Bombyx mori: one gene and its partners. The protein of the gene in region 4 interacts with the protein of the main gene of each other region in a pairwise test. Links are inferred from orthologs where the notes say so. Each region holds a gene or a part of one and is shown on either strand. Other genes may lie near its edges.

Region 1 (8,394 bases), on a different chromosome or scaffold from region 4:
TGAAGTACCGCTTCGCTCTGTTGAGGACTCCCAGCATTTTGGACGCCAACTTGGCTTTGCCTTCCAGATGACTCCGAAACTGGACATCGCTCGAAATCTCGACCCCAAGTATCCCAATACTCTCGGAAGGTTGCAGGGATACTCCTTGGAATTGCGGCGCCATGACAAAGGGGTCCTTCTTCGCAGTGAACGCGCAAACTTGTGTCTTTATCGGGTTGAATTGAACCAAGTTCAATTCACCCCATTCGGAGACTCGCCTCAGAGAGTTCTCCACTTCAGACACAAGTTTAGATCGTCTCTCTTGCACCGCGCTCCGAGAGAGACTCTGATGGCCGATATATCGCGCATCCCCCGTGCTGTCATCCGCATAGCAATGCATGCCATCAATAGACAGCATGTCATTGATATACAGGATGAAAAGCGTGGGGGAGAGCACCGAACCTTGTGGAACGCCAGCGTTAATGGTCATGGTATCAGAGCAGTCACCGTCTACAACGACCATGATGCTCCGCCCATCCAAAAAGCTAGCGATCCACTTGCAGAGACCCTCGGGGATTCCGTAAGATGGTAGCTTCGACAGAAGTGCCCTATGCCAGACCCTGTCGAAGGCCTTCGCGATATCAAGGCTCACAGCAAGAGCCTCGCCCTTGCTCTCCAAGGCTTCAGCCCACCTGTGAGTAAGGTATACGAGAAGATCGCCAGCTGAGCGACCGTGACGGAAACCGTACTGTCGGTCACTGATCAGCTGGCGATCTTCAAGATACTTCAGGAGTTGTATATTTATTATTCGCTCCATCACCTTGGAAAGCAAGGAAGTTATCGCGATAGGCCTATAGCTCGATGGAAAGGAAAGCTTTTATTACTTAAAACTTTTTTTAAACTCTTTAAGTTTAAAAAAGTTACTTTAATTTTACTTTAGTTTAGTTACTTTAGTCTTTTACTAGTGGTCCCGCAGTAGTCGAAATTCGACAATAATTGATTAAAATTATAAGTTTGAACATTACTACGGTTCTATTGTCAAAGACTATTTATTATACTTCTAATCACAGACTTCGCCAAGACTACACTATAGACAAATAACATTAAAGAAAAACAATATTAATCTATTCTCAATTAGACCACAGACTTTAAACAATAAACAAAAGTTTGACAATAATATGTGTTGTCAAAGTTGTATTGTCAAAGTGTGTGTAATGTTTTATTTATTGATTTAGTGTATTTTTATGCATAATTTAGAAAAAAAATATTAACATTCTGCACTCCTTCTCTTTATTCTCTATAAGTGTGGGTAGTTTGAAAACTCCTCCGTCCGCGTGATTTTCGTAAAAAAAGGGGTAAAGTTTTTGCTTCACGTATTAATATTTCTTAGTATTATTACAGGAAAAGTAATTAAGTATTTTATTGTTCATTAATTCTGGAATATTCCGTATCATTACATAAATACCCGTGATTATCCCACCGGGATCCCGGTCACATTCCACCGGGCGAACGAGACTTGAGACTCACCTGTGGGGCTTAAAGAGGCGATCAGAGATGGTGGAAGCATCTTCGGCACCTCTAAGCCGCGCAGTTTCAAGTTTATAATCTGTAATGAACACACAATTTTACTGGTGGTAGGATGTCTTGTGAGTCCGCACGGGTAGGCACCACCACCCTACCTATTTCCGCCGTGAAGCAGTAATGCGTTTCGCATTGAAGGTTGGCGCAGCCGTTGTAACTATACTGAGACCTTAGAACTCATATCTCAAGGTTTGTGGTGGAATTTACGTTATAGATGTCCTATGAGCTCCAGTAACCATTTAACACCAGGTGGGCTGTGAGATTGTCCACTCATCTAAGCAATAAAAAAAAGATCACGGATAGAACATAAGGTGGCGTCCTATGTCTGTGTACGATAGAACATCGATTATGATCGAAAAAAAGGTTACTTTATTTGCAAAAATTTAAAAAAAGCTTCTATATAATAAATATATGTATATATAGTCCATAAGAACCGATGTTTTTTATATCGATGTTTCACTTTTGGAAATATCGATATCCTAACATCGTTATTTTTAATGAGCGATTTTTCAACCGGATACGGACGTTGGCACATTCGCAAATTATGAAGACTACACAGAAACTCACCTTGCAAGCTATAGAGAACTCCTTCAAATCCAGCTTACCGTCGGCGTTCGTGTCCGCCAGTGACCATATTTGTCCCAAGACCGGTGGAGGAAGCTGAGACTGTGAACAGAAAGACAAACAAAACTTATTTTAAACTAGCTGTGCCCGCGAATTCGTCTGCGTGGAATTAAAAAAATATTACTTTATTCTATAATAATGTTACGCCGATAAGAGCAACGCCATCTGTTGTCGAATGGCAGAAGTGAATATCAAAGGAACTAGTAAACTCGAGAACGCTCGGGAAGTACAACGCCATCTATTGTCAGATAACGGAAACAGATATCCACACGACTCGACTTGCCAGAAATCGGAACTACTCGAAGCGAAACAGCGAACGGATCACCTGAAGCGAAGCGGAAAAAGCGAATTACGAAGTATTTTAGGTGTTTAATTTGTACTGTGGTTGTATTTGTGGAAATTTTATTTATCCCGAACCCCAGCGTGTAAAAATAATTTTAGAATTTCTCTAAAATAGAAGTAGCCTAATTTACTCTTTATTCCATCTCGTGTGTTTAGTGCGAGTGTTTTAACGTTCTCGATCGCGTAAAAGTTAACTCAAATTTATATGAAACGAAATAAATATGAAAAAAAAAAATTGTTTGGAGTTGGAACGTTTGCCTACGTTGGTCGCTAGGGGCGCTGTTCCATATCCATACAAATTTGAGTTAACTTTAGGCAGCAGTAGGGCAGCGGCTTGGCTCTGCCCCTGGCATTGCTGAAGTCCATGGGCGACGGTAACCACTCACCATCAGGTGGGCCGTATGCCCATCTGCCTACAAGGACAATAAAAAAAAAAAGTTCTAGATTTATAATAAATACGCAAATTAACTGACCTGTAACATGAATCTTTTAGCTTGTTCGCCCGTCAAATTTCCATTGACAGGTCCAAGGTTTCTAAAGTGCTCCGAGAACTTCGCATGCTCATGTGCTTGTATAGTCCACGGGTCCGCCATCATTTCTGAATTAAAGACGTTTCTTTGAACCTAAAAAAAGATATACCTCTTAGTATGTATGCAGTCTTCATTACAGGAAGCCTAAATTTATAATCATAGAAAAATCCTAATCCTTTTTCATTGTTTAATTTTCAACATTTTGATTGACATTAATGCAGTAATTTTGAGAATATTTTAATTTGGCATTGTATATTTAATGTTGTCTTTGGAAATCAAACAATGCTTCCTTTGGGAAGTTAATATTAGAACAGGTGAATATATCTATATTAAGTTATAATATTGAACTAGATAAACCATCAGATAATATCTTATTATGAGCATGTTTCTGCATATCTTGGTTTATCAAATTTAAAAAAAGAAATGCATATCACGGTTTAAGGTTTATGTTGTACTATTAAAAAAATTTGTTTGATTTTAAACAATAGACATTGCAACATGTTTTTGTTAACTTTTTCCCGACAATCAGGAGCGGTGTCTTTAGCCAAATTGTATGAATAGAATGTCTCCAATATGGTAGGTCATGATAAAGTACGAAAAAGCCTTGATTAATCAAGTGAAAAGTAGACTTCTAAATTTTTCCTATATTTTATCACTTCTCTAAATCTATTAAAGATGTACCTAAGTTCTATTTAAAATATTTGCTCGACGTACAGACGTGTGTCACATACAATAAGTAACTCAACATACAATAAGTATTAGAATACTACAATTGGTAGAGCAGTTCAAGATAATGTTCTTAATTTTTTAATATTGCTAGCTCGTTGTTTTATAACTCCGTGACCCGGATAAAGTTTAAAGATACCTTAAGCACTAATATTCAATACATTTTTTTGTTAAAATCAACGTTGTTCAATAAATTAATAATAAGTACTACTACTCTTTTGGTACCAACAGGCAGGGGGTGTGTCTGCGAACTAAAACAAATATTTAGGAATTAAATTCTAGGGAATTACATAATGTATTACTTACTTTAACTGTTGTTTGACCTAAGAGAATAGATTTAAGACTGATCCTCCTGAAAAAGGATCGAGTAAAACCCCTCAAAGTTCTAGATAAAGTATTGATTTTTTGATTGGGTGCAACTGTCAAAATCGAAATTTGGTTTTTGACAGTTAATTTTTTTATTGTGGCTCGCTCGGTTTGTGCATTAGCCAGTGTCAATTATTAATTATTTTGCCGTTTATAAATAATAAAAAACGAAGGAAACTGTCTATGTTGGCCATTATTATTCTGTGTAAGTAGATATGAATTACATTAGCAGCGTCTGTCATTTTTCATAAAATTAAGAATATAAACTAAAATAAGATATGACTTAAAGATCTTAGTTACCATGTCATAAAATTCCTAAAAAAAAGAGATAGAGATAGAAGTGAGTTATTATTTTGAGTAGAAAGGCTGTATGGGCTTAGATCCCCTTGCCTTTCATAATAAGGAAAAATTGTACCAAAAAATATATTTTGAGTAGAACGAATTGATATAATAAAAAGTTCGAACTTATAAAATGACCAAAACAGCGGATAACATCAACCCTCACATTTACGAGAAGGGTTCAGAACGGGAGATCACTTCTTCGGAACGCGACGAAGACTTGCAAGATGAATTTGATGATCGCGAAATATTTGATTTAATACGAAATATAAATGATCCTGAACACCCATTGACACTCGAGGAGCTCAGGGTGGTGGAAGAGAAGAATATAATCGTTAATAACGATGATAGTACTGTATTAGTCAATTTTACACCGACAATTCCCCATTGCAGTATGGCGACTCTGATAGGTACGTACTTTTTTTAGCATTAAAACCTATAGTTAATGAGAGAGTAACACACACATAACCAACGCACACCGATAATGGTGGAACAGCCAATATTTCTAAATTAATATTATCATACTAATGTTTTTTTATTGGCAAGCAAATAAACATTCATGCCCAGCCAACGAACAGCTTCCTTTTTTTAATTGCGTGGGTAGACGATCATACAGCCCGCTTGGTGGGGAGTAGCTACAGTCCCTCATGGAAGGTAGCAATTTCAGGGGTGCAACTAAAGTGCAGTCTACCGCTGACCATTTTCAATGGATTGATAATGGGTTACCGTAAACTCTTATCTCTCATCTCTCATCTTAGGCAGTTGAAAAGATCTCGCCAGTTATATTTCAAAATTGTCACCTCTCTTTCGGCCAATATGATCGAAGAACTCAAATATCTTCCTGAAGCAGACGATAGAAAGCCTTTGGATATTGAGCTGTTTTAATATGGATGCGTTAGTCTGATATTTTGTCCACGGAATAGTCACTACTGTCTAGCCTATTCCCAATTTGAACCATTATTGTTTTTGCTTAAGAGAGAGTAATTTTAAAATAGGGCTCAAACTTCGAGTTGCTCAAACTTCGAGTTCAGGACTCAAGATGGGTGGCAGTTGTCCCAATGTGATGTCCACGGACATCTGTAATGGCTATAAACTATGAGAGCTGTGAGCTTGTTCATTCCCCTAGTGCAGTTAAACACTTTTGTAGATAATCTGTTCTGTTATAGTTCTAATTAAAGTTGTGAAGCTTCCGGAAAAAAGTACTGCAAGCTTAATTAATGAGATTTGATTTTTATTTCAGGTCTTTCAATACGAGTTCAACTACTCCGAGCTCTGCCAAGCCGTTTCAAAGTGACCGTACAAGTATCGGAGGGCTCTCACGCTTCCGAACATGCGGTCAACAAACAGTTAGCGGACAAGGAAAGAGTTGCTGCAGCTTTAGAGAACAATAATCTACTGCAAATCATCAATCAATGCATAGCTGTTTAATTGATAGGGATAAATTTATTTGTAAGCCAGATTATCAGTGGCTTTGGTCCAAAGAATGCTGGTACGGCATCTGATTCACTTGCATATACATTTGAGGTTATAGACGTATCATTCAATTATCGATCTTAAAATATGATGCCTATGACTTCATTGGTCACTTGCTGGTACCTGTTTTGAAGGAGACAGCTTATATTATTTATTATTGCTTATAAATACTTGAATGCTTAATGGGTTCCTGTAGGACCTCTTGTGAGTCCGCGCGGGTGGGTACCACCGCCCCGCCTATTTCTGCCGTGAAGCAGTAATGCGTTTCGGTTTGAAAGGTGGGGCAGCCGTTGTAACTATACTGAGATCTTAGAACTTATATCTGAAGGTGTGTGGCGCATTTACATTGTAGATGTTCCAGTAACCACTTAACACCAGGTGGGCTGTGAGCTCGTCCACACATCTAGGCAATAAGAGATAAATAAACATTAAATACCTATTTATTTTGTATTTTAGCAGGAAATAAAAGGCTTTCTATTTTATATTTATTTATTGCTCATATGGGTCAAACTTGCCGGCAATGGTATTTAATCTGTCACTAGAGCCCAGGGAAATCATGAAAGTGAAATTCATTACTGCTTGACGTCAGAAAAATATAGTGATCTAGACTTGCAATTGTGTTTTTTTTTTTTTTTTGTCCTACCACCATTAATATTTAGACCTTGTGTTCCATGAATAATGATAATATACACTATGTTTTCAATGTGCTCTGATATCTGTCTACTGGATAATAAAAGTTGATAGCCTAAATAATCATAGAAAAAAAAATGTATATTTTTAGTGAATTTATGTAAAAATATTTTGTATAGTTAATAAATAAATAAATTATGTATGTGGTTTGTTATTTACTGCTCGTATTCGCGGGAAATTTGCACTCAAAAAGTCAAACTCTTATTTTATAAACACTTATATTTTTGTGGTATTCGGATTTTAACAAGAAAACTGAGAAAACTAAGCTAGGAACTAGATCAGCCTTTCTCAAAGTGGGCGATAACGCCCGCTTGTCGCTGTAGGCATAAAGGATGGTAAGAGACCCAGAAAAAAAATGGGGGCGTTGTGTAGAGGCTTGGGAAGCGATTTGTAATTTCGTCTTGGAGGACTTAGACAACGACCGAGGTCTTTCTATAGTGGTTAAGTAGGTGAAAAAACGGGGGCGCTAAAAAATAATTTATTCTCAAAGTGTACTGTAGACAAAATATGTTTGAGAACCCCTGGACTAGACGATACTAATTATATTAATATTATGTATACGAAGATATTATTTTTATTTTAAATGCTAAATCGGCGCGAGAATGACTGACGTCAGGTGACACCTGCGCGTTCAGGAATAAAATTTCGATCGTGCCCAATGACTAGGGTTATAGTATAGTATGTTATTTCGGATAATTTTGGCCTATACTTTATGTGAACAATTACGAACAATACTGGTGTTAGGACCTCTTGTGAGTCCGCGCGGGTAGGCACCACCACCCTGCCTATTTCTGCCGTGCAGCTGTAATGCGTTTCAGTTTGAAGGGTGGGGCAGCCGTTGTAACTATACTTGAGACCTTAGAACTTATATCTCAAGATAGGTGGCGACATTTACCGCTCCGGTAACCACTTAACACCAGGTGGGCCGTGAACTCGTACACCCACCTAAGCAATAAATTAATAAAAAGTTGCCCGAGCGCCTCCGAAGGAGACCTAACAACTCAAGAGCAGCTGCTCCGCGAATGCATCTACTACCGGATCGGAATCGCGACCCGCTCAAAATATACAGCGAGAAACTCAGCTGGGCTGGTGTATGGATATGGATTAGGTTGCGCAGTTACCAGAGCCCCTAAACCTGCTGCTAATGTTAGAGCTAAAGGCGTCTAATGCAAGGGTTATTGGATCTGATGGATCCGTAAGGACGCGTCTAGGGCGTCGACGGTGACTGGCTCCTGCATAATCAGCATTCGGGAAGCAGTCAGCGGCGGTCACGATTGGGCGATTAACATGACGCATAGCTTCATCGAAGTGCAGTTCCGACGCTGACTTCATGTTTTCGAATCGTTACGAGGTCCAGGTCGTCGTGTATCTCGGCGTTCCTTACTAACCAAGCAATATGTCTGTGTGCTTAGTGCGAGTTTTTTAACGTTCTCGATAGCGTAAAAGTTAACTCATATTTGTATGGAATGGGATCGTTTGCCTATGTTTGCCGCTATGTGGGGCGCTGTTCCAAATGCATACAAAATTGGGCCAACTTTTACGCTATCGAGAACTTTAATAGACTCGCACTAAGCACACTGAAGTAGATACGACTTTTTTTTTTGTTGCCCTTGTAGGCAGACGAGCACACGGCCCACATGATGGTGAGTAGTTACCGTCGCCCATGGACTTCAGCAATGCCAGGGGCAGAGCCAAGCCGCTGCCTACCGAGTCCGAGCCCTACGTAAGAAAACCACAATATACT
Region 2 (8,537 bases), on a different chromosome or scaffold from region 4:
AAGACTGAGGTGGAAAGATTATTCAGTGTTCTCAAATTTAAAAACTGACAAAAGAAACAGGCTTTCTAATGAAACCCTGAACGGCTTGCTTCATAGAAAGTTCCCAACTTTGCCAGCAAACAATTGCTCAATTTTAGAACCGAACAGTGTTAGGTTGTGCAGCAAAAGAATATAAAAGCAATGCGTCGACTTCCTTGAAAATTCTAATCCTATAGATCTATGATCTTCTGGGGGCGTTTATATTATATATACCTACATTAAATAATATGCTGTGGTTTATTTTCTGTATTTTATTTACGCTTTCTATATAAAGGATTTATGAAAGTTGTCTAGGAAATTTTAGGGTAAATTCAAAAGAAACTAGGGTAAAATGTGTTAAAAAAAACGTAAGTGGAAACACTGCTTTGAAGTTTTCAAAATTCCAGGGCCGTAAAACAATCTCAAAAAAAAAAAAAGTTTTCAAAATGTCGTAACGATTTAATTTTTTAAATCGTTTTTTTTTGGTCTTGGTGTGAGTTATTTTACGTTGTAGTATTAATTTAGAGCAACTTTTAGCTTTATGAGAATATTAGACGATTAGACATTGAGAAACTCTGTTTTGAATTCTCTTTAGACATAACTTGGCTCCAATACTTTTTTCTTCGTTAGCGTTTCGTAAGCCTGTGTAACTATTTTCATTTCTTACAGAATGTTTATTATTAAAAATCAGCATGCCTCGAAGATCGAAAATGAAATGCTATTTCGGATGCCTTGATAACGGTGAGTTTACACTATTTTCCCGGTATATTATTTGCTAACAGAATTATTATTCATAATATAATTAAATGAATTAGCACCAACTAATGGTCCTTCCTATTTCTGCTGCCTAGCTATCATATATGTTAAGTTTTGATCAAAACAGTCGGTATTAAGTCTCGTACTATCACACACACACCTCAGATAATAAAATTGTCTCGAGTGGGTGGAAGTATTTATGTTTTGCAACTCAGCGTATTATATGCTTATTGTCAAGTGGGCCCGAACTAGTTTTTTGGAATGATCAATCAGTCATGCTTTCCTGTTTAAATAAAATACAGCACAATTGATCTCACATCCAAAGTTAGATGATGGCATTCACGTTTTGTTTCCTGGTGTTTGATAACTAAGTTACACCAAGTGGCCTGTGACCACGTTCATCCTTCTACCCAATATAAAATAATGTTTTTATTTTTGTAGACAAAGGTTTGATAATGACAAAATTTTATGGAAAAATTATAAGGAGCACTAAAATGTCTGAAACATGAAAAGATTGATGCACTATATTTGAACCAGAACGTGTTATGTAATATATTAATTTGTAAGTAAGATTACATTAACACTAAATTTTTCATGGTCGTATTTTTTCAATATTTGTTACATACTTAAGATACTTTGTTTCTCCGTTTCAGAAGAGAAACTGATTCAGCAAGGAACGTGAACTCTCAAGGGATCTTAATTTTTTTTAAATATGTTTATAATTGATAAATTAATAATTGAAATAGTTCATAAGAACTAAATTGATGCCAATTTTGTTTTAAAATAGGTTGTTTAGTTCTTATAGTTATAGTATTACGTTTGAATAGTTGTAATTAGTAAGTTAGTAATATATGAAAATACTGATATAAATTTTTGTAAATAACCTTTTGTAAATTCTACGAGAAGATGATTTTAATTAATGATCAAAAGTCAACGGTCTTTAAAAGCATTATTTGCAATTATTTAGATTAACTGTGGAATATATTTGCTAAGTTGTGTTTTCTGTATGAGCAGATATAAATGAAAATGCCCAAACATGATTATGTTTCTTACATTTTCATTATGTGAAATCAATATGCTTGTGACTGAGTATATTAATAATTTATTAAAACTTAAGTGATAGACAGCAACCCCTATGGCACTGCTGAAGTTTATAAGCACTGGTGACCACTTATCATGGGCCGGGTTGCGTGCTCGTCTGCTGTTGAGTGCAATAAAAATTTTCGAAACCCTTTCTATTATTTAGATGTAATATTAGTGTACATTTAATTTGGATTAAAAGATAAATTTACATTTTATGTTTGCATGTGTATGTTTATAATTCATTTGCATGTAACGAACACCAGTTTCTTTTGTAACAAAATGTAAACTAATGGTTTGTAATGAATGTAATTAACTTTAAGATGATTTTCTTTCAATCTGCTGTTTGTTTCATCTAGTATTACCAAAGCTAAAGCATCAGAAACGTCAGAATAGAAATAATTTAGATAGGGAATAAAAGTATAACTAATGTAATCATGTCTAAGATTACTATAAGCGTCATTAAGTACAAACTATCAATATTTAAGAGTACTTTAAATCATCATTACATTTTTTAAACATTTTTTGTTTTTCAAATCATGTAATAAAACGTTTGTGCAGATCAAAATGTCACATGTTATGAACATGATTGTGGGTTAATAGTTTCTTAAATTTCTAAATGTTTATAAGAATGCTAAGAATAATTTAGTATTCACTTTAGTGTGTGTATTATCTCTACAATGCTAGTATAAATGACAATTATTGTATGACGAAGCATAGGTAGTGTTTATAGATGTAATATTTTCATACAAGGTCATGATCTGTCACGATCAACTTTAAGCAAGAACTGCTATAGTTAAGAAACAAATTTATTAAATTTAATTCAAATTGTCTACTATGTTTGTAATGGAAAGCTGACATGTTTATATTTCGCACAAATGACTTAAGTGACATTGAATGATTTGATTATCTAGACTTAATTAACTTTTAGATAACTTTCGATTTAATGTTATTAAGTACTCTAGTAGGATTAATCTAGAGGAGTTATTGTTATTCGAAATTTTATACAATTGTACGTTCATACTATCTTTTAACAGTAAATTGTTTGTAATATAGGGAAATTAAATAGCTTACAGAGAATTACAGCTTTTTATTTAAAAAAACTGTTTTCTCTCTGTATGAAAAGGTCTTATCGATTAGAATGCTGAACACAATCAAACGTTCTTTAATATTTCATAAGTACTACCGGGAATTTCAGCGATTCTAAACGATAAGATTTTTTCATAGAGTTAATTATAAAAAATATTAAAATTACTAAAAAAGCCACCTGGTGGGGGGTAGGGAGACTAATAATCGACAGCAGCGACGCCTGCTGTCCCGGGCTCTAACTAAAGCAAAAATAAAAATGAGAGTTGCGCATCTATCTCAAATATATTAAGTGTATAATCTATGCTTAAATGTTATGTGTATTCTATCTATGCTAAGAACACAATATACATTTGGAAGAAGAGTTTCCTATTCTTCTGTGCTTTCATAGATGCTAAACAATTAATAAGCTAACATTAATAAAGAAGAAACAAAATTATTTGGTAGTAAAACCATTTTATTATGCTGTGGCTACATATCGTTGTCGACTTCTTGAAACTACTCGCGCGTCACCTATAGTATGTTGATTGGACTATCAATAGAGTTTCATATATCCTAGGAACGCATAGAGGACAAACATATAAATAGACATTTGCTTTTATTTATTTAACTGATTAAATTATTAATCATTATATGATTAAATTAAATTAATAAATTATAAATTTAAATAACAACAAACATTATTTTTCAGGATTTATGGCGAAAGTCTCTCGATAACCCACCCACCTTCGCCTTCGTGCAATAGTTTTTGATCTGGCACTTCCCCTTTGTATGGTCTTCTGTATTTTATGCGATCATGAAATCTGTCATTATGACCCTGCCAGAATTCAACGGACCTAGGAACTAAGAGGTATCCTCCCCTGGAAAAATTTAACTGTGTTATTTTTTTCATAATAAACCAGTTGATTTAATTTTATTGTAAAATAATGAGATTACATAATGTAATAATGACGACACAATTTAATAAAACATGAACATCGCTGTGTTGAAAGTCTCGATAAAAAAATTTGCTTGTTTAATACTATGAAAATTACCAGTTACTTGGTTTTGGGACTTCTTTCCCAGGTATCAGATATTCTTGCTCAAGAACCTTTTGCCTTTGACATAGGATATCTTTAGAAACTATCGGTGTACTTTGGTAGCTCGTACATGCTGCTATCTGATTGGCCACTGCACGTGTGCGAAAGTATTTTAAATTTTCAGCTTCTGAGAGTTTCTCGACTGTGCCTTCAATCCTCACCGATCTGTTCAGGATATCCCAATAAAACGTAGCAGCAACATTAGGATTCCCTTCCTTAAGAAAATGTAAATCATTATTATGATGTTAATTGGATGGACCTTTAAATTTGAAAACTTTCAAATTTTTATTCGTAGATATTACTCTACTTCCTAGTGTTTTTTCCATATTTCTAGATTTTTAGTGATAAAAATGCATTGTGTTTGTATAATACGAGTATATACTAAATATATTTACTGTAAAGGAAATCTAAAAGGTGCCTTTGTTTGAAGGCGAATCTTTATTTGTCGTTAATACTCTTATTATGGTTATATTCCTTAAAACAATTTCGGTTTAAAAAAAAAATTGAGTTGATTTCAAATAAACAAATCAATAATTATATGGCATAGGGTCCTCTTGAAAAAAATATAAAAGACTTACTATGTCTTTAGCTTTTTTACTTCCATAATTTGTGTAGAATTTGAATCCTTCTTTACCATAACCCTTACACAATACAAATCGGGCTGACGGAAAACCCTCCCTGAAATAATCATTAAAAACCATAACTATCCAGATCCCTAATGCAATGAGTAATTGTTTGGATAAAAAATTGATAAGTCTTAAAACATTACCCTCATATATCTTCATAAAAATCTCTGAATAAGATTAATTCAACAGCATTGATCTCGGCCTAGCTATGTTCTTATGATAACAATAATAGGGGTATTTCCTATGTTTGCTTTTGTATATGGATACGACGCCCGGTGTTAGATATCGATTGATGCGACTATTCTGGGGCTAAATTCTCCCAAGCAGTTTTTTTTATTTTTTGTTTATTGTATATGGGTGGACGAGCTCACAGCACACCTGTTTAGTGGTTACCGGAGCCCATAGACATCTGCAACGTGCATCTAAGGTCTCAGTATAGTTAGAACGGCTGCCCCACCCTTCAAACCGAAACGCATTACTGCTTCACGACAGAAATGGACAGGGCGGTGGTACCTTCCGGTGGGGACTCACAAGAGGACCTACCACCAGTAATTACGCAAATTAAATTAATTTTGTGGGTTTAATTTTTATTACATGATGTTATTCCTTCACCGTGGAAGTCATTCGTAAACATTTGTTAAGTACGTATTTCATTACAAAAATTGGTACCCATCTGCGGGATTCGAACATCGTTGCATCGCTAGATGCGAATGCACCAGACGTTTTAACCTTTGTAGCTACGATGCGACGCCTTTAAAAGATAGCGATATTTCTAAGCAAATAGGTTTGCAATACGTGTTCACGAACTGCCACTTTAATGACATTTAATTGCATCCGAGTCAGGCTCTCAACAATCTGTTACCAGAGGATCCTCAGCTACTTCGGTCATATTTCCCGCCGACAGTCAGTTAACTTGGACAAAGTGATTGTGACGGGCAAAGTAGAAGGAAAGAGACCCCGCGGCCGATTACCTAGCCGTTGGTGTGATCAAGTAACCGCTCTAACTGGGTTGCCAGTCGCAACCGCCATTCGAGCAGCTGAGGACCGGACGAGATGGAAACAGCTCACGAGACAGGCAACGGTCGAGTTTCAGGGACACGACCTTCAGCAATGAAGAAAGCGACGAAGAAGAAAGAAGAAGAAGTGGGTAAAATATTATATTTTGTTTACGTTCAATAAACTTAATTGAGTTCACCGGTATTTTCTATAGAATCTAATTTTTTTTTTTTTCTCAAAAAACTAATGGGGACTCTAAATATTTCCAAGTTTTTGTGCTGGTTAATGTGGCTAGGATATCAACTGTCTTTGTTTACAAAACGCAGTCTAGTTTAAAATGTAACTCACTGTGAAACTGTGGCTAGACACATTGCACTGGGCTCCAGAATCTTTTTCGTAGCGCGAGCTTCTTCAAACCAACATTTGAATTGTCCAAACGGCTCTTTCCATGTCACTGATTTTTCTAGAAACGCCCCATTTTTATAGGTATCGCAATTTCTCATACCTAGCAAAACAAAAAAGATACAGAAAGCATTTTTAACAAAATTGTCATTTGTTTTTTAACTAATATTCGAAAACTTACCACCAATACCAATACTCATAGTGCAAGTGTATGTGACAGCTTTCGGTAAATGAAACATTTTATATTGTATTAACCGTAACGTAAAAACAATTAAATATTTCAAATTTATTATTTGTTGAAACACAATAATCGTTCAAGGTCATCATTATTTTTAGATTATCGATAAATTAACATCTACAAAAAATTTATAAAAGATAAACACAGCTTGTTTGCTCGGCTTAAATTCTATTTAACCGAATTTAATTAGTATATTTTATTTTTATTACCTCATCAAACAGACGGGCATTGGGCCTCCAGATGGGGATCGACATCAGTAATCTCTGTGACTCAAATGATTTGCTGCCTATCTATAATATTCTTGAATAGTTACAGAAAAACTGGCGTCTTATGAGCCCGTAGGGTAATATGTTCCTGTTTTAAGGGTGGGATGGCCGTTGTACTATAGAACTGAGACCTAGAAATCGTGTCTTAAGGTGGGTGGTGGCATTTACATTGTTGATACCTAAGGGCTCCCGTAACCACTTAGCAGGTCGTGATCCGTGATGGTCACCCGACTTAGCAATAAATAAATATTATAATAAGCTTTTACTCTGGTTTCGCCCAAGCACACCCATTACTCATTCGGTATATTTGAAAACTTGCAGCAGTGGCACTCATAGAATAAAACGAAACCTGGCAATAAGCTTGAATCGTGCTAGCGACATTCTCAATATTAATGTATATATTCCGATGGCACATTTGGACCGTCGACGAGCCAAGACACCCGCTCGGTGGAAAATCTTGCTGCTCTCTATCATCACCAGCCCACACTTGTTCACCTCCCAGTTTCTATAACTGAGCACTATTTTCGGCTCTCCTCATCCACTTCCTACCGGTCAGCTTTCGTAAATCATCGCGCTGTCTGGTCAGGAGACGCCACAAGCATTGGGCGTGTGCCACAAAAGCGGTCTCCGCTGAAGAACTCGTTTGTTCTAGTGATATTCGGATCTATGACATATATGTCTAGTCCATTGCCATTTAGCTTGCACTCTATGAGGGTTTATTTTTCTGAAGTAGGTACCTAGCACTGATTTGTATCTGGTTAGGCTGAGGGTATCATGCCGTATCTGTCTAATTGGACGTCGAAATTCAACCTTGTAATAGTCGACGGTCGGTTCCAGTGTAGTACCGGCCGATCACTGAAATAAAACTGAACTTTACTACATAGAATAAAACAATTTCTCTGTCCCTATATCCCTATGTATGCTTAAATCTTTAAAACTACGCAACGGATTTTAACGCGGTTTTCTTTGATAGATAGAGTGATTGAAGAGGAAGGTTTATATGTATAATAATATCCATTAAATAGTGGAGAAATCAACAATAAATTACAGTTTCCGAAGCGAAGCGAGGGCGGGTCGCTAGTATGTAATATTTTGGAAAGGAAACATTTGTCATTTGTTGTCAACAGACAGAGTCATTGTTGGACGGTTATCTTTTGAAGGGATTGGGTTCTGTAGGTGATGAGGGGCTATTTAAAAACACAACTGCTTCATTATAATTATATTGCAGATAGCTTTAACACTTTTACACCATTATACAATTTTTATCTTTATATTTTTTATAAAACTATTACATGTTTTTCATGCCGTGTCTAGATGAGAAGTCACTGACATTTTCTTACGAGAATACAATGATCTGTTTTTTAAAACATTTAAAATAATTCCAATATTCGAAATCTAATCAAGTGTCAAGTGTTGCCTGCCATTACATTTAATATACAAACTCCAACACACCCCCTCAACACTTGCACACATTTTTCTCCGTCTATAATTTAATACCAAAAAAGAATAACGCTAACCTGACCTTCATAAATGAATTACTTTCCATACATACCTTAAAACCTCACAACCACTTACATTCCGTTACTTCCACTTAATCCCTCAATTCAACCAACAACTATTCATTCAACCTTTCAAACTTAATACCATCTTTAATGTCGCTTCCTTTAATCCTTTCTTACTTCTCCAACTCCAATTCGATCAAAAATGTACTTTCATTCAACCATACTACCATTCAACCTTAACCTCCCTCTTACTCATTATATAAAACATTGACTATAAACTCCTTCTCAACTCCCTACATAAACTCTTCAAGTTTATTTCTTTAACTTTAATAACCTTAACTCCTTCTCAACCTCTAACTTTAATAACCTCCTTCTCGACCTCTTTAACCTTTAACTCCTTCTCGACCTCTAACCTTTAACTCCTTCTCGACCTCTAACCTTTAACTCCTTCTCGACTCTAACCTTTAACTCCTACTCGACTCTTTTAC
Region 3 (8,508 bases), on a different chromosome or scaffold from region 4:
ATCACAGGAATGTTGACATATGAAGCTTCAGTAATGGGTTGATGGTCTTGTGCAGGGTCCAATACAATCAAGAGACGAGGTTCACGGAATGCAGCTTGGATCTGTTGAGAAAATTCAAATGAATGGGGGTAAATTCAAGAGTAAACTAATTTAGATTGCTAAGATCTACTTTCCAAGATTTCAGAAATAATTTAATCATGCTTGCATTAATGCAATCAGTGGTTCCTTAGTTTGTTTGTCATCATAATATAGTAAGTTTATATGTGTTTAATACATGAAAACAGATCAATGTATTGAGAATTAAAATGTGTGCCTAACAGCTTGTACAGTACCTAATCTACTTTAAAAAGGTGGCAATTTACATATCACACAAAAAAAAAAAACGATAATTCACTCTAAAGGCAGCATCTGCCAAGTAACAACCTTACAAAACTACAAAGACCTTAATACATATGTTTTTCTATTTATTAATTTCTAGTTACTTTCAATGTGTCACATTATTTTTTAAGAAATAATTATAAAAATAAATGTATCAATATTATAATTTACTTAATATTCCCATTTGACTCATGAAAACCTAACATACTTGGGTTGTAGATGAAGTACACTCAATAAATAATTAAATGTCATTACATAGTAACAAATAGTTTAATGGTTTATTACCTGGTTAGTAAAAGCACCTGGTGTGAAACGTCCCGCAATAGGCGTAGCACCGGTGTGCGCGGCAAACTTCAGTACAGCACGCTGACCGAAGGGCCGTGATGAGATGACGAACACATCAGCGGGGTTCTCGATGGCTACGACAGCACGAGCAGCCAGAACAAGTTTTTCCCAGGTACGACGCAAGTTGATCACATGGGTACCATCAGCACGTCGTTTGTAGACATAGGTCTCCATCTGTTTTGCAACATTTTCTTCAAATACCACTCATTTAAAGCAGAGCTTATTATTAAGTAATTGAAGCTCAGTTGGGAGAATTAATCGTCATACAATAATCAGAATAAAATGGAACGGATTCTCTTATCATCATGGTTTTGTTAGGTTATGTTTATAACAGATTTGAATATTTTTGTATGTATTTACCTGGAAGTTAACATTTTCTGCCCCAAGATGGGTGGTTGCAGCAAGCATTTTGGTGACATCTTCCTCGTTGAGGGCGAGCACGTCTAATCCTCCCGACATCGTTGCGCTTATTTGAGTTACGACTAAACCTGAAAAATCACCACACGATTAATTGACAATGTTCGTATTCAGTGATCAAATACTGATAATTTACTCTTGTTTATTAAACATACATTTTGATCACACAACACATTAAAAGTTCTATTAAACGATGTAAAAACAATTTTTCGATTTATTACTTACGCGTATAATGCCACTGGGAGGCGAAATGGACTTAAAGAAGTGTCAAATATGTCAATGAAAACTAGTTGTCAAAGTTGTCCTTGGACTAGAATTCAAACAAGCAAAGAAAATAAAGCTTATACTATACACAAAAATCGAAGCCATACCTCTTCAGCAAAAACTAAAGAATTTTGTCTAAATTAGCTTTCCTTCAGATTATGAATAATAATATCATGGATTTTCAAAGGTTATCGTTTAATTGAAATTAATTAATTTGTCGTCTGAATTCTTATTGTAATGTCCATAAAGTTTGATAGTAATAATACACAAAAAAGAAGAGAGGTTGAGGAGGTTAAAAGATAAAATACAACGTGTACGTTTGACGTGTTATGTATCCCAGATAAACGAATTTTTGAAATTATACTTCAATAAATAAAATAATAGTTTACTATTTTAACTTAGTTTTATTTTTACTTTAACGGAAAATAAGTAGAAATGACTTAGCTTGCGATTTTTTGTTTCCCAAATTATGTACATAGTTATCTTTTAAAATCAATTTATTTTAAAGAATGTCAGCTGCGTAATATAACGTTATTATATTTTTAATCAAACTTTTCTAATTTTATTATACATTTTTTTGGTTTTATGTATTTATTTGCTTTCAAATTAAGAAAGGAGAATTAGCAAAATTGTATTTTTGTAAGCAGATTTTTTATTATGAATTTTTCAAAATTAATTTTGCAGTTGTAAATAAAATTAAGTACATGCTATTGCCCTTATTTTTTTGGATAGCAATAAACTGTTTCTGTTTGGCAAAAATATGTTACAATTTACTGATTATAGTCCTCCATTTAAGTGGTAATTATTTCACGTATCGGAACTTTTGTATCATATTAAACTTGATGCCGGCTAGAAAGGCAAAGGCAGTTATTACTAGAATCCAATTGCTAGTTTGAACCTCATGTCATAATTTGGCATTCATGTTTTGATGTCTATGAGCTTCGGTAACCACATCAAACTAGGCGGGCTTTGATCTCGCTCACGCGTTCAAGCAAATAAATAGCAAAAATAAACACAACAGTAACGAAATGTAAAATAGTGATTATTTGTAAGATAATATCGATGAAGTTAAAGAATATTTCATCACAACCACAATATTTAAAAAAAATATGGTGCGTGTACAACTTGGTGCACGTGAAAAAAGGGAAACTTCTTTTGTGGTGTGTAGTATTGTGGTTTTCTTCATTTTTCATCTTTAAATCAAATTTCCCCATTAATAAGGAATGCTATATATAAGATAAACTATCTAGCTCACTTTGTCCTTTCCCTCTCTCCACGGTCGAGTGGTTCATGAGACGCTCTGTCTATTTTCTCACTCTCGGTCTTCCTTAATGAGAAATATGTATATGCTGAAAGTGAAAAAAAATTAGCCAAGTTACCATTCAGGCAATATCATTTTGTGGTCTTTAATGGCAAGTCGTCCTTCGTCCATAGTCGTCCTTCTAGTCTACATTCTGCTGAAAAGTTTAAATTTAGACCTAAGTTTTGATGGCAATTCGTCTCTTAAACTTAGTTGGGGCGTCTGAATCTAAATCTTTTAGTCAATTTCAATATTTTCATAATGAATTAGGTTTTTAAATTCATCTACATGTTTTACGAATCCTTATAGTAGACGATTCTTATAAGTGAGATCCAATTCAAATGTAGAATGAATTTGTTTTTAGTCTTTACAGGTAAAGTTGATGTTATGTTCCTTGCCAGTATCAAAAACACACATGAATGCAAGTAAATTTTCGAGCTAAAAACACAGCTGCAAAGTGGCAACATTTTGATTTTTTTGTCAATTTGTAAAGTGAGTGATGTGTTGAGTACAGACGGATTCCGATTGGGTTTTTCTAAATTTGTAACTAAAACGCATCTTTTTTATTCAACATTGTGAGACAATACGTGCATTATGATTATTTTACTTCCTTGACATTAGACATTTTGGAAAGTTTGTGTACTTTAAGAGTTATTTTTAAGAATTCGGTGACATTTCAGTGAAGTGCCTAATTTGATCATGGAGGCTCTAGCAAAACACGATTTTACTGCAACCGCAGATGATGAGCTCAGTTTTAGAAAAAATCAAGTATTAAAAGTAAGTTAAATATTTATTTAACTTTTTGTTTTGTTTAATACCTAGCGATAGTTCTTTCTAGAATGGTTCCTATTGCAGATTCTAAACATGGAGGACGATATGAACTGGTACAGAGCTGAATTAGACGGGAAAGAAGGGCTCATTCCTAGTAATTACATACAAATGAAAAATCACAGGTAAGTGGGATATCTAATATTTCTAGTCTTAAAATTATAACTGATACTTATAACGATTTTAAAATATTCTTAATTAAAATAACCAGTTTATTTTTGACTTAGGTTTTATTTGTGAAAGCAAGAAGATATTGCTCTTGTGTAGCTATGTAGAGATCTCAGATAAAATTTAGAAAAAGAATGTTTTCATTTCATTCCAAACATTTGCTGAAGAAAACTGATAATGTAAACATTGTTTGTTTATAATTAAACTTGGGCTGGTCTACTCATTTTTATTTACATTTAACTACTATGGTATCCGGAGAGTGTTGCCAAACCTAATCTACAAAGTCATTTCATTATTCTTTAGAAGAAGAACATACAAAATGAATGTTATTTATAGATACACAACAGAAATTTCATGTAACTTACCAGCTGCCACTAAACTAATCAACAAATGTTTGTTTACATTACCAATTGTAATAATAAAAGCCAAAGTGTCTTTAAACATATGAAGTGTATTTTGAAAGGAGAAAACAATATTTGATTTCAAAGTAAATTATAAATTTGGTGTATTTTTTATTACACAATTAAGAATTACGAAAAGTGCTTTTTTTATTTGAGTACTAAACTTTATTTCATGATTCTCAATGAGAAAAGATTTGAATAGATAGAAGGTAGTTATTAAACATATATTAAAGAGAATGGTCTCTTCAACTAGAATCTGATTATACATCAGAAATAAACCTGTTGATTTTGTAAGTGCTAATGCTTTGCCAAGCAATAAAATTAATGTGAAGGCTATGCCTGAAGTGATACAAATGCTCCTTTAATTCATAGTGTTGAGTAGTACTATAATATGAATGCAGAACATACTACCATGACCACCTAATTTGAGATGTGAGATGCAGTATCAATTGCATTGTGATAATAACTGTCCTAAGGTTCAAACCTAAAGGCACAATTGCTGCAAGACAAATATGGTATACAGAGACACACATACAGTGTATGCTTACAGCATACCTGACCACCAAAAACTACTATTAGTAATAATAGTAATAAAAATTCTAAATATTTGTAGAACATTTACTTATTTTTTGTTTATACCTTACTGGTGTATTGTGTGGTGTATATTGTATCAGCTAGACTGGAAGAGAAATCTAAGCACATCCAGTGCATCGACTTAATGAATTGGATGTCAGAATGAGGTCACAAACCACCTTGTGTCAAGTAGTTACAGGAGCTTATAGATATTACGGTGTAAATTCTCACTATCCACCAGTTTTAAGGATTAAAAACTGTCTTGGGACATATTAAAAAAAAACCATAATTTTTAAGTAATTATTAATTTGAAAATAGTAAGTATTTGTATTTTAAAGGTGTGCCTACATAACCTCTCTTTTTCAGTTGGTATTATGGGCGTATTACAAGAGCAGATGCAGAAAAACTCTTAGCAAACAAACCTGAAGGTGGCTTCTTGATAAGGATCAGCGAATCAAGCCCTGGCGACTTCTCCTTATCAGTCAAGTAAGTCCTTTGTATTTTTACATGTAATGTTTATTATTTTTCACAGTAATAATAATCATTATTTATTATTTCTCTTTTAAAGTTATAGTACAAATACAAATAGAGATTAACCTTACAATTTATTTTGTTAGCCTTTGAAAGAACTGCAGTCTGTACTAGGTTCAAAGACCTGTATTACTGATCTCCAGGCTCCCTGCTTCTTAGGATAGATTAGGCTAGGTTAAGTCATGAACAGATGTCGCAGACTAAGTGTTGAGAGATCATTAGGTGTTATCATTTAAGTAGATATCAGTAGTTATCATTCCAACAGAAGACCGTTCATTATTATTATTTAAATAAACAATTTTATCTGGATGGAATGTTTTCTGTATGTTTGCATGTAAATAACTTAGTGTTTCTCTAAATGTTTTATCAATAGAGTCTATTAGTAATAAAATAAAAAGCTCCCTTATGTAATACTTATAAAACTAATATTGTATGTATATAGTATATTACAGCTTATAACTAAGGGAAAATTGTCTTTGTCTTAACAGAAAAATACATTATAGCAATGCTATCTAAAAATATATATTGGAATCACAATAACATTTACATTTTAAGTTCAGGTGAATGACCAGCATTTGCATCCACGGGTCACTGCAGTATAAATAAAGTAAATGAAGAGTAAAAAGAACCATCTATAGTCTTATGCAATTTAACATTGAAAAACCATTATAAGATAAATGTATTTAGGACGTCAGAAAATGTAATGTGTAAATAAATACTTTGTAAATGTAGTTTTAACCATGTGTGCGAATTCTAAAACTGAGTGAATATTAAAACATTTTATCTATTCATGGAAGGTTGGTCATAAGATAGATAGAGAACTTGATAAATTCAGAATTTTTCTTATCTCAATAATAAGAAAAATACACCATCTGAAATACGTACAAATAAATACATTCCATCCTTATCAAATTTTCTAGAATGACTAAACTTTATTTCCTTCTACAGTCAACAATAAAGAAAAAAAACAAACTATGACAAATACAATACTACTCATTTTACTTGTAAAGCTGTAAAATTTACCTCATATTCATCATGTGAACTAGTTCTGTTGAGTTTCTGTAGGCTTCTGTAATCACTTAACACCAGATGGGCCGTGAATCTGTTCACCCATCTGTTCAGCTAAAATAAATTGTTGTTGTAATAAATAATTGTTTTAAAATTATGTCACAGATCCATTTGGATAGACGGCTCTTTCTGTGTTTGTACTGTGTGTGCTATGGAGATGGATATTTATTGTTTATTTGCATGGACGAACTCACAGCCCTCCTAGAGTTAAGTGGTTACCAGAGCCCATAGACATCTACAACGTAAATGCCCCCCCACTCACCTCGAGACAAGAGTTTCTAAGGTCTCAAGTACAGTTACAACGGCTGCCCCACCCTTCAAACCGAAACGCCTCGCTGCTTCACGGCAGAAATTGGTGGGGTGGTGGTATCTACCCGCGCGGGCTCACAAGGGGTTGTACCACCAGTAATTACGCAAATTATAATTTTGCGGGTTTGATTTTTATTACACGATGTTATTCCTTCACCGTGGAAGTCAATCGTGAACATTTGTTGAGTACGTATTTCATTAGAAAACTTGGTACCCGCCTGAGATTCGAACACCGGTGCATCGGTCAACACGAATGCACCGGACGTCTTATCTTTTAGGCCACGACGACTGATAAAATGCTCCTGGCATTGCTGACATCCATGAGTGACGATCTACCTATAAAGTATAAAGTAAATACAATAGCATGTAATCGTTTACAAGTCGCAAATTTCTAAACTCGGCTTTTATATTAATGGAAACTAATTTCGAAAGTAAAAAATCTACGCTAAGTTACGAATTCCTACTTATCTACTACAGCAATGAAAACATTGCAATTTTTCAGGCAGTTTGCCTTTACATCACATTATCTATATATTAATACGTGAAGCAAAAATTTTGTATCCCTTTTTACGAAAATTGCGCTGACGGAGGAGACTGAAATTATCCACACTTATAGAGAATATAGAGAAGAAGTGCACAATGCTAATATTTTTTAAAACTAATGCATAAAAGATACATTAAATCAATAAAGAAAACATTACACACACCACATACCATGTATTTGACGCACACACGCATGCATACTATATTGTCAAACTTTTGTTCTTGACGTCTTTGGTCAAATTTTTTTATTTTTTTTTATTGCTTTTTGATGGATGGACGAGCTCACAGGCCACCTGGTGTTAAGTGGTTACTGGAGCCCATAGACATCTACAACGTAAATGCGCCACCCACCTCGAGATATAAGTTCTAAGATCTCAGTATAGTTACAACGGCTACCCCACCCCTCGAACCGAAACGCATTGCTGCTTCACGGCGGAAATAGGCGGGGTGGTGGTACCTACCCGTGCGGACTCCCAAGAGGTCCTACCACCAGTGATTACGCAAATTATAATTTTGCGGGTTTGATTTTTATTACACGATGTTATTCCTTCACCGTGGAAGTCAATCGTGAACATTTGTTGAGTACGTATTTCATTAGAAAAATTGGTACCCGCCTGCGGGATTCGAACACCGGTGCATCGCTACATACGAATGCACCGGACGTCTTATCCTTTAGGCCACAACGACTTCAAAATTCAAATTGAGAATAGATTAAATATTGTTTGTCTTTATTAATATTTTTTTATAGTGTAGCCTTGGCGAAGTTTATGATTATAGTATGTGTACAAACTTACAATTCCAGTTAATTATAGTCGAATTTCGACTACTGTGGGACCTCTAGTTCCTTTAAATATATGATCACTATTAATTAACGTATATTAATATCTATTCACAAGATGTCATTTTTGAGTAAATTTTGGAGATAAATGTCAAATTTTCAGGCACTATCTACTATCATTTTGTTTGAAACTTACATGTTTTATAAACTTTATTCAATGTTCATTTTATGTTTTTGTATTTGGCCTTACTATACTTAGTCCACGTAAAATGTGTAGTAGTTGCCGAACAAAATTGCTATTAAATGCAGACAGACATGACGAAATAATAAAAGCCACGTTTTTTTTGCCAATTGGCTGCCAAAAAAGTTGTTTCTAATAATGATCAGTGTATCTTCTGATCAAATGGATACATAAATATTTCCAAACAAGTAGTATTAAGAATAATTTTGCACACCTGTATCGGTGGCGGTACATACCGTTTACAATTTCACACCCACGATACGTTATTGCATCAACACGTGCTGAAGCTGCCTCGAAATTGTTTAGATTTCGTCTGGAAATTTAGTTTAGAGAACTGAATCAATCCATGTATTTAGTCTATTAT
Region 4 (7,737 bases):
ATGCTAGCATTTCTTTGCCACAGGTCGTTTCTGAACTCCGTAAAGAGAACTGCAACCGCCGCATCATCCTCCATCACGACAATGCGAGTTTTCACACCGCGCACAGAACAAAAGAGTTTTTAGAGCAAGAAAACATAGAATTATTAGACCATCCGCCGTACAGCCCCGACCTAAGCCCTAATGATTTCTATACTTTCCCTAAAATAAAGAATAAATTGCGTGGACAGAAATTTTCATCACCTGAAGAAGCTGTGGACGCCTACAAAACGGCCATTTTGGAGACCCCAACTTCCGAATGGAATGGTTGCTTCAATGATTGGTTTCATCGTATGGAAAAATGTGTCAAATTTCGCGGAGAATACTTCGAAAAGCAATAAATACATTTTTAAATAGTAACGTTGTGTCACTTCGTTAATTCCCGAAATTTTCAGTGCCGCCCTCGTATTTTCTACATGATACCAAGTTTCAAGTCAATCGGATGCACGGTTCAGTAGCTATAACGGAACATCCGTAAAAACCACTGTAGATTTATATATTAGTGTAGATGTATATATTATGATATTCAATTTTTAACATGTATAGAAAATTAAATACTCTTAAACATAATATATACATTCAAATAAATAATACAAATCTTATATTCATAATCAACGTAATTGAAGTAGTGGGTTTTTAATGTAACGTTTATCATTTATTCGTTACGGAATAACAGATTCATTTATAAACAACATAAATGATGCGATAAAGAACATAACATTTCGTGTTATCTACTGACGTTAATTAACATTTTCATGTGGGAATATTGTAATTTTATACATCCGTATCTATTTGTGTTATTCATCTCATTGAACAGATAATAATCTGAACGAAAATTTAATAGTTTATCTAGACTAGAGTTTAACCCCTTTTTATTTGAAAAGTAATTTAATTTTTTTGTCTTAGAGATTCTTTTAACTTTTTATCTTAGATTATTCTTTTAAATTATATAATGCGCGTTTTTTTATATAACTTTATTAAACACATACAGAAAATAGCCTTATTTGTATCACAATATGGCGTCCGAGTCTATGACTCAAAACACCAGTGGTTAGGGTTGTAGAGTGAGAATCGCGTGCAAGAATAATCGCGTCGTGTAGGATCTATCTCTGTGGTCTATAATCTGTCAAATCGTGCATTTACAGAACTAGCGGAACAATGACTGAATGACGCGATGACGTAGAGGTTAGAGTCCCGAATGCTAAGCTGAGGCTAGTAAGTTATATCTATACAAGTACGAGTCATTACTAAAACGGGAACGATACTCTCCCGGACATGCTCGATAAACGTTGACCGCCCCATAATTTACTACATTATTTCCGGTAGTTATTCATCATGATAACTTCGTCCATTATTGCAAATTATTAGCATAAATTATTTTTATTAATAGCGTTAATTAACATTTATGGACAACATTATAACTACATGCAACCTTTACCATTTTAATTAAAATTAACAAAAACAACACTCTGGTATGTTTATTTTAAATATGCGATTAGTTAAACGAAAATCAATCCCAAAGCACTAACATAAAATCTTGTTGTTTCTCAGCCCGTATTAGGCGACAAAATGACAAATAGTGACGTCATTGCACCATAAACATATTGAACAGTACCTTATCTTTGACGGTTTTGAAGAAAGCTCCACCTTCTTTCTTGACCGTCTTGGCCCAATCTCTGTACTGTTGCTTTAGTTTCTGACCACTACCCGTGTTCAATTTATCCGCGTACGCGTTGCATTCTACTTCGAACTCATCGTTGAAACCCCGTCCGGAATTGAGCAAATCCAATCTTTCGTCTATAAACTGACGAATAAGATATACATATTTCTTTTTAGTGTTTTTTTTTGGGCGATATTTTATGAATTTTATGGTGTTATTTAATAGGTAGTGTATTTGTAACGTTCTTGAAAATAGGGGCTTAATTGTTTTTTTGCTACAATATGTATCAATGCGAACTTACCTGTTGGAATATTTGGGATTGTAGTATTTTTCTAAGGAATGGCTGCATGTTTTTCCTCGTTTTCACAAAAGCTTCTGGATTGAATGTAATCAGTTGACCATTTTCAATTCTAGAAAAAATATATATTATGCATTCTGATGATCATCACAATGTCAAATGCGCGTTCATATTTACAGCCAATTTACCCATAATTAAACGGATTTGTTCTACATTACCAGTAAAGCATTTTGTGTGTAAATTATAGATATTACCAATCTTATTTAAAAGGTTCTTGATAATCAGTGATTATGTAAAGTTGGTTTTACATAATAAAAAAATTTTTTTTTTCAACACAAAAGCACTACAAGATTATTTTTTAATATACAAACTTTGGTATGTTTAAAAGCGAATTAATAATACTCAAATCACTAACTTGATCGCATCGCGGTACCCGCCGATTAAACAGACAAGGGCGCGTAAAAATGCTCTTGAAACAGCATCTCCAAGAGCGTTTTTGTCGCTCAAAGCCTTCTTTAAACTCGAAATCTGAAAATAAACACATAAATTTTATCCACTATCCTCTAAGCCGTTTATTTAGTTAGAAAATCTATTTTGCCTATAAAATGGCACATACGGGCAACAATGAAATTTAATGATACCTAAGACTTTTGTTCGAATTGCATTTTGTGATAATGTCACAAATTTTAAATCTTAAAATAAACGATTAGAGCTACATGAGCTACTAAAATAGGCATTTTTAATTTTTATTGTTTATTAACTATGATTAAAAAAAACGAATATGCTAACACCGACTCCACACATTGGCCCCAACGTTGTTACCAACATTAAGCGGTTAATTTGGTGAAGTGTCCACACGTTGGCTGTTATACTAGGTCCTTTCCGTCAGAGCCTACGTGAAGATGTGCGATACCGGAATTGAAATTGCTCTAAGCGCTTTCACAGTACTGAGTGCATATTATAATTAATATTTGTTATTAAAAAAAAAGAAAGAGCCACGACAAAGGAGATGGTGGATGACATCGCGACATGCACAGTCGACGCATGTTGCAACAGGACTGAGCAAAGCGCCAACATGTGGACGGATCCCGAACGTTGGCACAGATTCCTTTGATTAAACCGACACTCGACGGCCAACTACCGACGATCGCTCGAACGTTGGAGCCAATGCTATTTTCTAGCTCCACACGTTAGGCGAGTGACGTTGGGGCCCATGCTAGGGCCAATGTGTGGAGCCGGCGTAATGGATTTTCATTTTGTTTTATGTTGATCTTTTATCATTGTCTTTGAGTAATGATTCTTCCGTAAAACTAGGGGTGCCGTCGTCTCTTCATCATAGACATTAATTGAACAAATCAAACACACTTCATCTTTTGGGGGGCAAACATAAAGCAACATCTCTCTTAACGCGATGTATAACTAATCACTGGAAGTGCAAACCAAAAAACTATTGCACAGGTATACATTTAATACAGAGCGCTTACGTTTTGTTTATATTGTTCAGAAGACGAGACTTACATGCTCAAGAAAAATCTTTATTGTACGTTTAGTGTAAACAATATCGCACGGAAATTACTTACCAACTCAGGGGGAAGAGTCTCCAAGTCGTTGAAAGGAGATCTAAGCTCATTCGCGTCTACATCTAAAATCACAACGTCACCTATCTCAGACATCCTAACATTCTGAAACAAAATTAAAAAATAATAAGAATACATGACGATCGCAGTTATATTTTTCTCTATCCCACAATAAATATAATATTTAAAAATATATGAATTATACGGCCCAAATCTCATAAAAACTTTACAGCAATATTTGAAAACTTAACATTTCCAACGAAAATTTCTTTGAGGGATTTAATTGACGAAGCCTTTGCCAAAACGTTCGATTAAAAAAGCAGTAAAATTTTATTTGGGCAACACTATAAATACATTATTTACCTCCATAACGCTTCTAGGAACTCCAATCAGAAATGGCATCGGCGCCAGCATGTAATCGACCAAATGCTTCGGTAATATTGGAATGAAAATATGTTGCCATGACATCGGGAACAGAGTCGCGTTAGCCGCTTGGACACAAGCCGACAGACGCGATGGTTTCGATGCTACGATGGCCACTCGACGTTCGTGTAACAATGCTGCCCACAGACCCGCCATGCATTTTGTATCGACCGCACTGAAGTATTCTGTTAGGTTGCACTGAAAGATGAGATCAAGACGATAAGACGATGGTAGAAAGGCATAAAGCCTGTACGCAGGGCCAGATTTAAACTTAATGCCGCTCCTGGGCACCAGAAAAAAATCCGCTTTAATACTGGAATTTTACTTAAACTATAGTTTATAGGTTTATAGTATTTAGGTTCGTTTTAAAAATGAAAACAATGAATATTAGATATAGCCTAATAAGGTATGTACATGCATAATTGTTATAAGCTTAAAATTAGCATAGCGAGAAAAATGCCCTAGTTGAATTAATATCTGTGTAAATAATAAATTTTATTCATTTTATTAACTATTAACTCGAACACATTAAATTATTCACTAAAAACATCCCATTATTAAGCATAACAATATATTGAATAATTAAGTGTTTTTAAACTAATATTTGGAAAGTTATCTTTTTATCTATAGAACTATTGGACTTATTCAAGTCTTTTTGTGATAAAGATAAGTTTAGGGTTGTCACGTAAATATTAAAGTAGTGACTTCGACGACTAATTTTATTTACTTGTTTTATAGTATATTAATTCCGCTTCCCGCACAATAAAAAAGATGTAATGTGTTCCTTGTAGGATCTAAAACTAATTACCTTAGAATATTGCAATACTTTTTTTTTCCCTACCTAAACTGAATCCGCTTAACTAGTAGGTGAGCTCACGGGACTCAAACCTGACGACGTTGCTAACACGAACCCTAGCAAGAGCCGTGCTTCGCAGAATCTACCACCGGATCGGAAACGCGACCCACTGAGAAGATTCGGCGAGAAATTCAGTAGGCTGTGTCTGAGGGTTAATTACTTAGGATTTCGACACAATGGATGATAAAATATTTGTGGTATCGAAATTACGGACAGTCTTCCTGGGCTCATGAAAGCAAAATTATTACACAAACGTATTATAGATAGTAAATACTCAGATCCTTTAGCGTAAAAAGATTATTGACAAACAGCGGGACACCTATATTAAAATATATAAATAGTATTTTGGAAACCATCACAGTTTTGGATTAATGAATTAAGCCAAATAAAAAAATTAGACGCATGATGTATGTACGTTACTGCAATCTTTAAAAGACAATTTACACTGATCGCGAGATAGCCACTATGAGACTACCAGTTAATCAATATTTAGCTGATACATTTTTTTATAACATTCTCGGACAGGATAATTAAAATAATACATATTATAATACTGGGAGCATACGAGTGATGCCCACACCGCTTAGGATGGACCGAGAGTGCAGATAATAAATTATCGTTATTATTTCTAAACGCTTCAATTGATACGAACTACTATCTCACATATTTATTTGCCTAAAATAATGATGACGTGTCAATTTTATGTTTATGTTGTCAATTGAAAGTTTAATGTCATTTATCTGTATAGACCTTAAATAGTATAGATTCCTGAGAGCTTCTTTAACCAGCAAAAACCTCCATTAAATTTGTACGTTCTCATTGTTGTTTGCACTAATTCGTGCACTTGTACTATGTAAAGTTAAAGTATGGTACTGTGTAACTCATTATTTATTGACTAACCGTCAAAGGAGACGGAAAATCGTGGGCCAAAAATGTAATAACTTGGAATGTAGTCTAAAAAATTTGTCATATTTTTTTATATAAGAATATAAAAAATCACCTCAATCCTCTTTCTGGGACCGGAGAAAAATGAGAAAGTTAGTTTTTGTCGGTATAACGGTGTGATCGATTTAATTAATCGATTACAGGATTCTAAAAATAAAAACATTGCACTAGGTAATTAATGCAAAGTAATTAAATGAGCGATTTATACTTGTTGTATACAAGTGCGGTATGCGCCGGATTTAATTGCGATTATATACATAAATGAAGAAAAAGTCTATTATTACTTAGCAAAGTAATATGATTATCGATTTCAAATCGATTAAAATCGATTGTATTTTTGATGACAGCTTTGACAGTAAGCTGACATGACGTTTGTTCATAGATTATACAATTATTTTTTGGCGCTTGTTGGTTTTTTCTGCTCTACTCGTTTTGTATCTTCGACGCATTTTGAGTGTGTATCTATCGGGCTGTTTTTATATTTTCAACGATCACTGCTTTATTATTACGGATTCCAACTCTGCCAGCCTTGTACGACAATTGCTTCTATACTGGACACCGAAGATCGCTCACACGTTTGACTTGAAATTGTTGCATTGGATACTGTTGAAATTATGGATCGCTGTGTGAATTGTGGGATAGCAATTCCATATTACATACCTGATATATATCATTGATATTCATTCATAATATGACATTTAAAAGATTATCTAATGGATATAATAAACATTTACTTATGCTTAAATAAGTTATTATTCAGCTCTTTTAAAGAGATTGTAACATAACCTAACTTTTACTAAATCTTTATTAACTCGGCTCTCAGATTGAGAAAACGTTTATAATTTTCAGCAAAGTACTGATAAATCTGAATCTATTAATTCATATTAGTTTCATCACGTTACATTCGGGCCCAAAAATGTATGTAATCGTTTCAGTCTCCATTACGTATGTAACAAGAATATACTGAAGCGTACGCATAAATAACGCACGCTTGAATGCAAAACGACTGTTTCGTAGCCCGCCTCCTATTTGCCAGTTTAATAAATAGATCGCAAGGTTGTTATTGGAGTCCTCTGTAAAATGCAACCACCTTGACCTGATTGGTTATATTTAGATACATGCGAATGAATGAACTGAGGTTCTATTAGCTATTGTGTGTCGTCTTTAGACATTGTATCTGTATTGTGAATCGTTTGAACTAAATCGCAAGATTTATTTACGTCATTAATACAAAAATCGATCAATTAATTAATAAACGTTTCACTGTATCATGCATTTGCGTTCCTATAACAAAGCCGATTGCATACATATTTGATTAATAATAAAAACGAAATTACTTTAAACAGCAATTTTACAACAAAACGCGTGTATTTTTTTGAATTTAAGGTATTATTATTAAGATAACGATGTAATGAAAGCAGCATAACGATTTAAATCTTAATCCTACGAAAAATCTATCGGTTCGTTTATAGCAGGGGTTCTCAAACTTATTTTGTCTACTTTGAGAATAAATTATTTTTTTGCACCCCCTTTTTTTAATGTAGTTAAAAAGCACTATAGCTCATTCGGTGTCTAAGAGAAATCCTCTCTAAGAGAAGACCTCCTAGATGAAATCACAAATCGCCTCCCAAACCTCTACACAGAACGCCCCTATTTTTTTTCTGGATGTCTTACCACCCCCTTTAGGCCTGCAGCGCCCACAAGGGGGCGTTATCGCCCACTTTGGGAAAGACTGGTTTATAGCATACATGTTAACACATATATCGGTAACTTTTGAAGTAAAAAATAGTAGTATTTTAGATAATAAGCATATTTAGAAAATACTAAAGATCTACAAAAATATATTACTATTAGATTAAAAGGCAACCTGAGTGATGATATTGTTTGAAAAAAAAAAGCTCATTTAATGAATATTTCTAAATAATTGCTTTATATAGCGAGT

The links.
Region 1: the proteins of DENN domain-containing protein 1A (region 4) and intersectin-1 interact in a two-hybrid assay, tested with the Caenorhabditis elegans proteins (2 studies listed by BioGRID). The link is inferred for Bombyx mori from reciprocal best matches to the Caenorhabditis elegans genes rme-4 and itsn-1.
Region 2: the proteins of DENN domain-containing protein 1A (region 4) and ras-related protein Rab-35 interact in a two-hybrid assay, tested with the Caenorhabditis elegans proteins (2 studies listed by BioGRID). The link is inferred for Bombyx mori from reciprocal best matches to the Caenorhabditis elegans genes rme-4 and rab-35.
Region 3: the proteins of DENN domain-containing protein 1A (region 4) and DRK interact in a two-hybrid assay, tested with the Caenorhabditis elegans proteins (3 studies listed by BioGRID). The link is inferred for Bombyx mori from reciprocal best matches to the Caenorhabditis elegans genes rme-4 and sem-5.

What each region holds. Positions count from the first base shown.
Region 1 is NC_085117.1:633,150-641,543, forward strand, and holds the start of intersectin-1, read right to left. Parts: upstream 4,224-8,394; 5' UTR 4,089-4,223; intron 3,150-4,088; 5' UTR 3,123-3,149; coding exon 3,000-3,122; intron 2,227-2,999; coding exon 2,128-2,226; intron 1,586-2,127; coding exon 1,507-1,585; intron 1-1,506. Other genes in the region: MIP18 family protein galla-2, read left to right, coding at 4,621-4,897, 5,728-5,915.
Region 2 is NC_085122.1:8,795,146-8,803,682, forward strand, and holds the start of ras-related protein Rab-35, read left to right. Parts: upstream 1-3,800; intron 3,801-3,974; coding exon of another isoform or gene 3,975-4,234; intron 4,235-4,597; coding exon of another isoform or gene 4,598-4,697; intron 4,698-5,246; exon of another isoform or gene 5,247-5,488; 5' UTR 5,489-5,792; intron 5,793-5,989; coding exon of another isoform or gene 5,990-6,146; intron 6,147-6,224; coding exon of another isoform or gene 6,225-6,282; exon of another isoform or gene 6,283-6,398; intron 6,399-6,490; exon of another isoform or gene 6,491-7,402; intron 7,403-7,751; exon of another isoform or gene 7,752-8,537.
Region 3 is NC_085123.1:5,828,381-5,836,888, reverse strand, and holds the start of DRK (DRK protein), read left to right. Parts: upstream 1-3,403; coding exon 3,404-3,481; intron 3,482-3,559; coding exon 3,560-3,657; intron 3,658-5,040; coding exon 5,041-5,160; intron 5,161-8,508. Other genes in the region: RpSA (small ribosomal subunit protein uS2), read right to left, coding at 1-101, 664-897, 1,084-1,182.
Region 4 is NC_085107.1:6,840,562-6,848,298, forward strand, and holds part of DENN domain-containing protein 1A, read right to left. Parts: intron 4,193-7,737; coding exon 3,935-4,192; intron 3,677-3,934; coding exon 3,575-3,676; intron 2,523-3,574; coding exon 2,410-2,522; intron 2,107-2,409; coding exon 1,998-2,106; intron 1,841-1,997; coding exon 1,652-1,840; intron 1-1,651.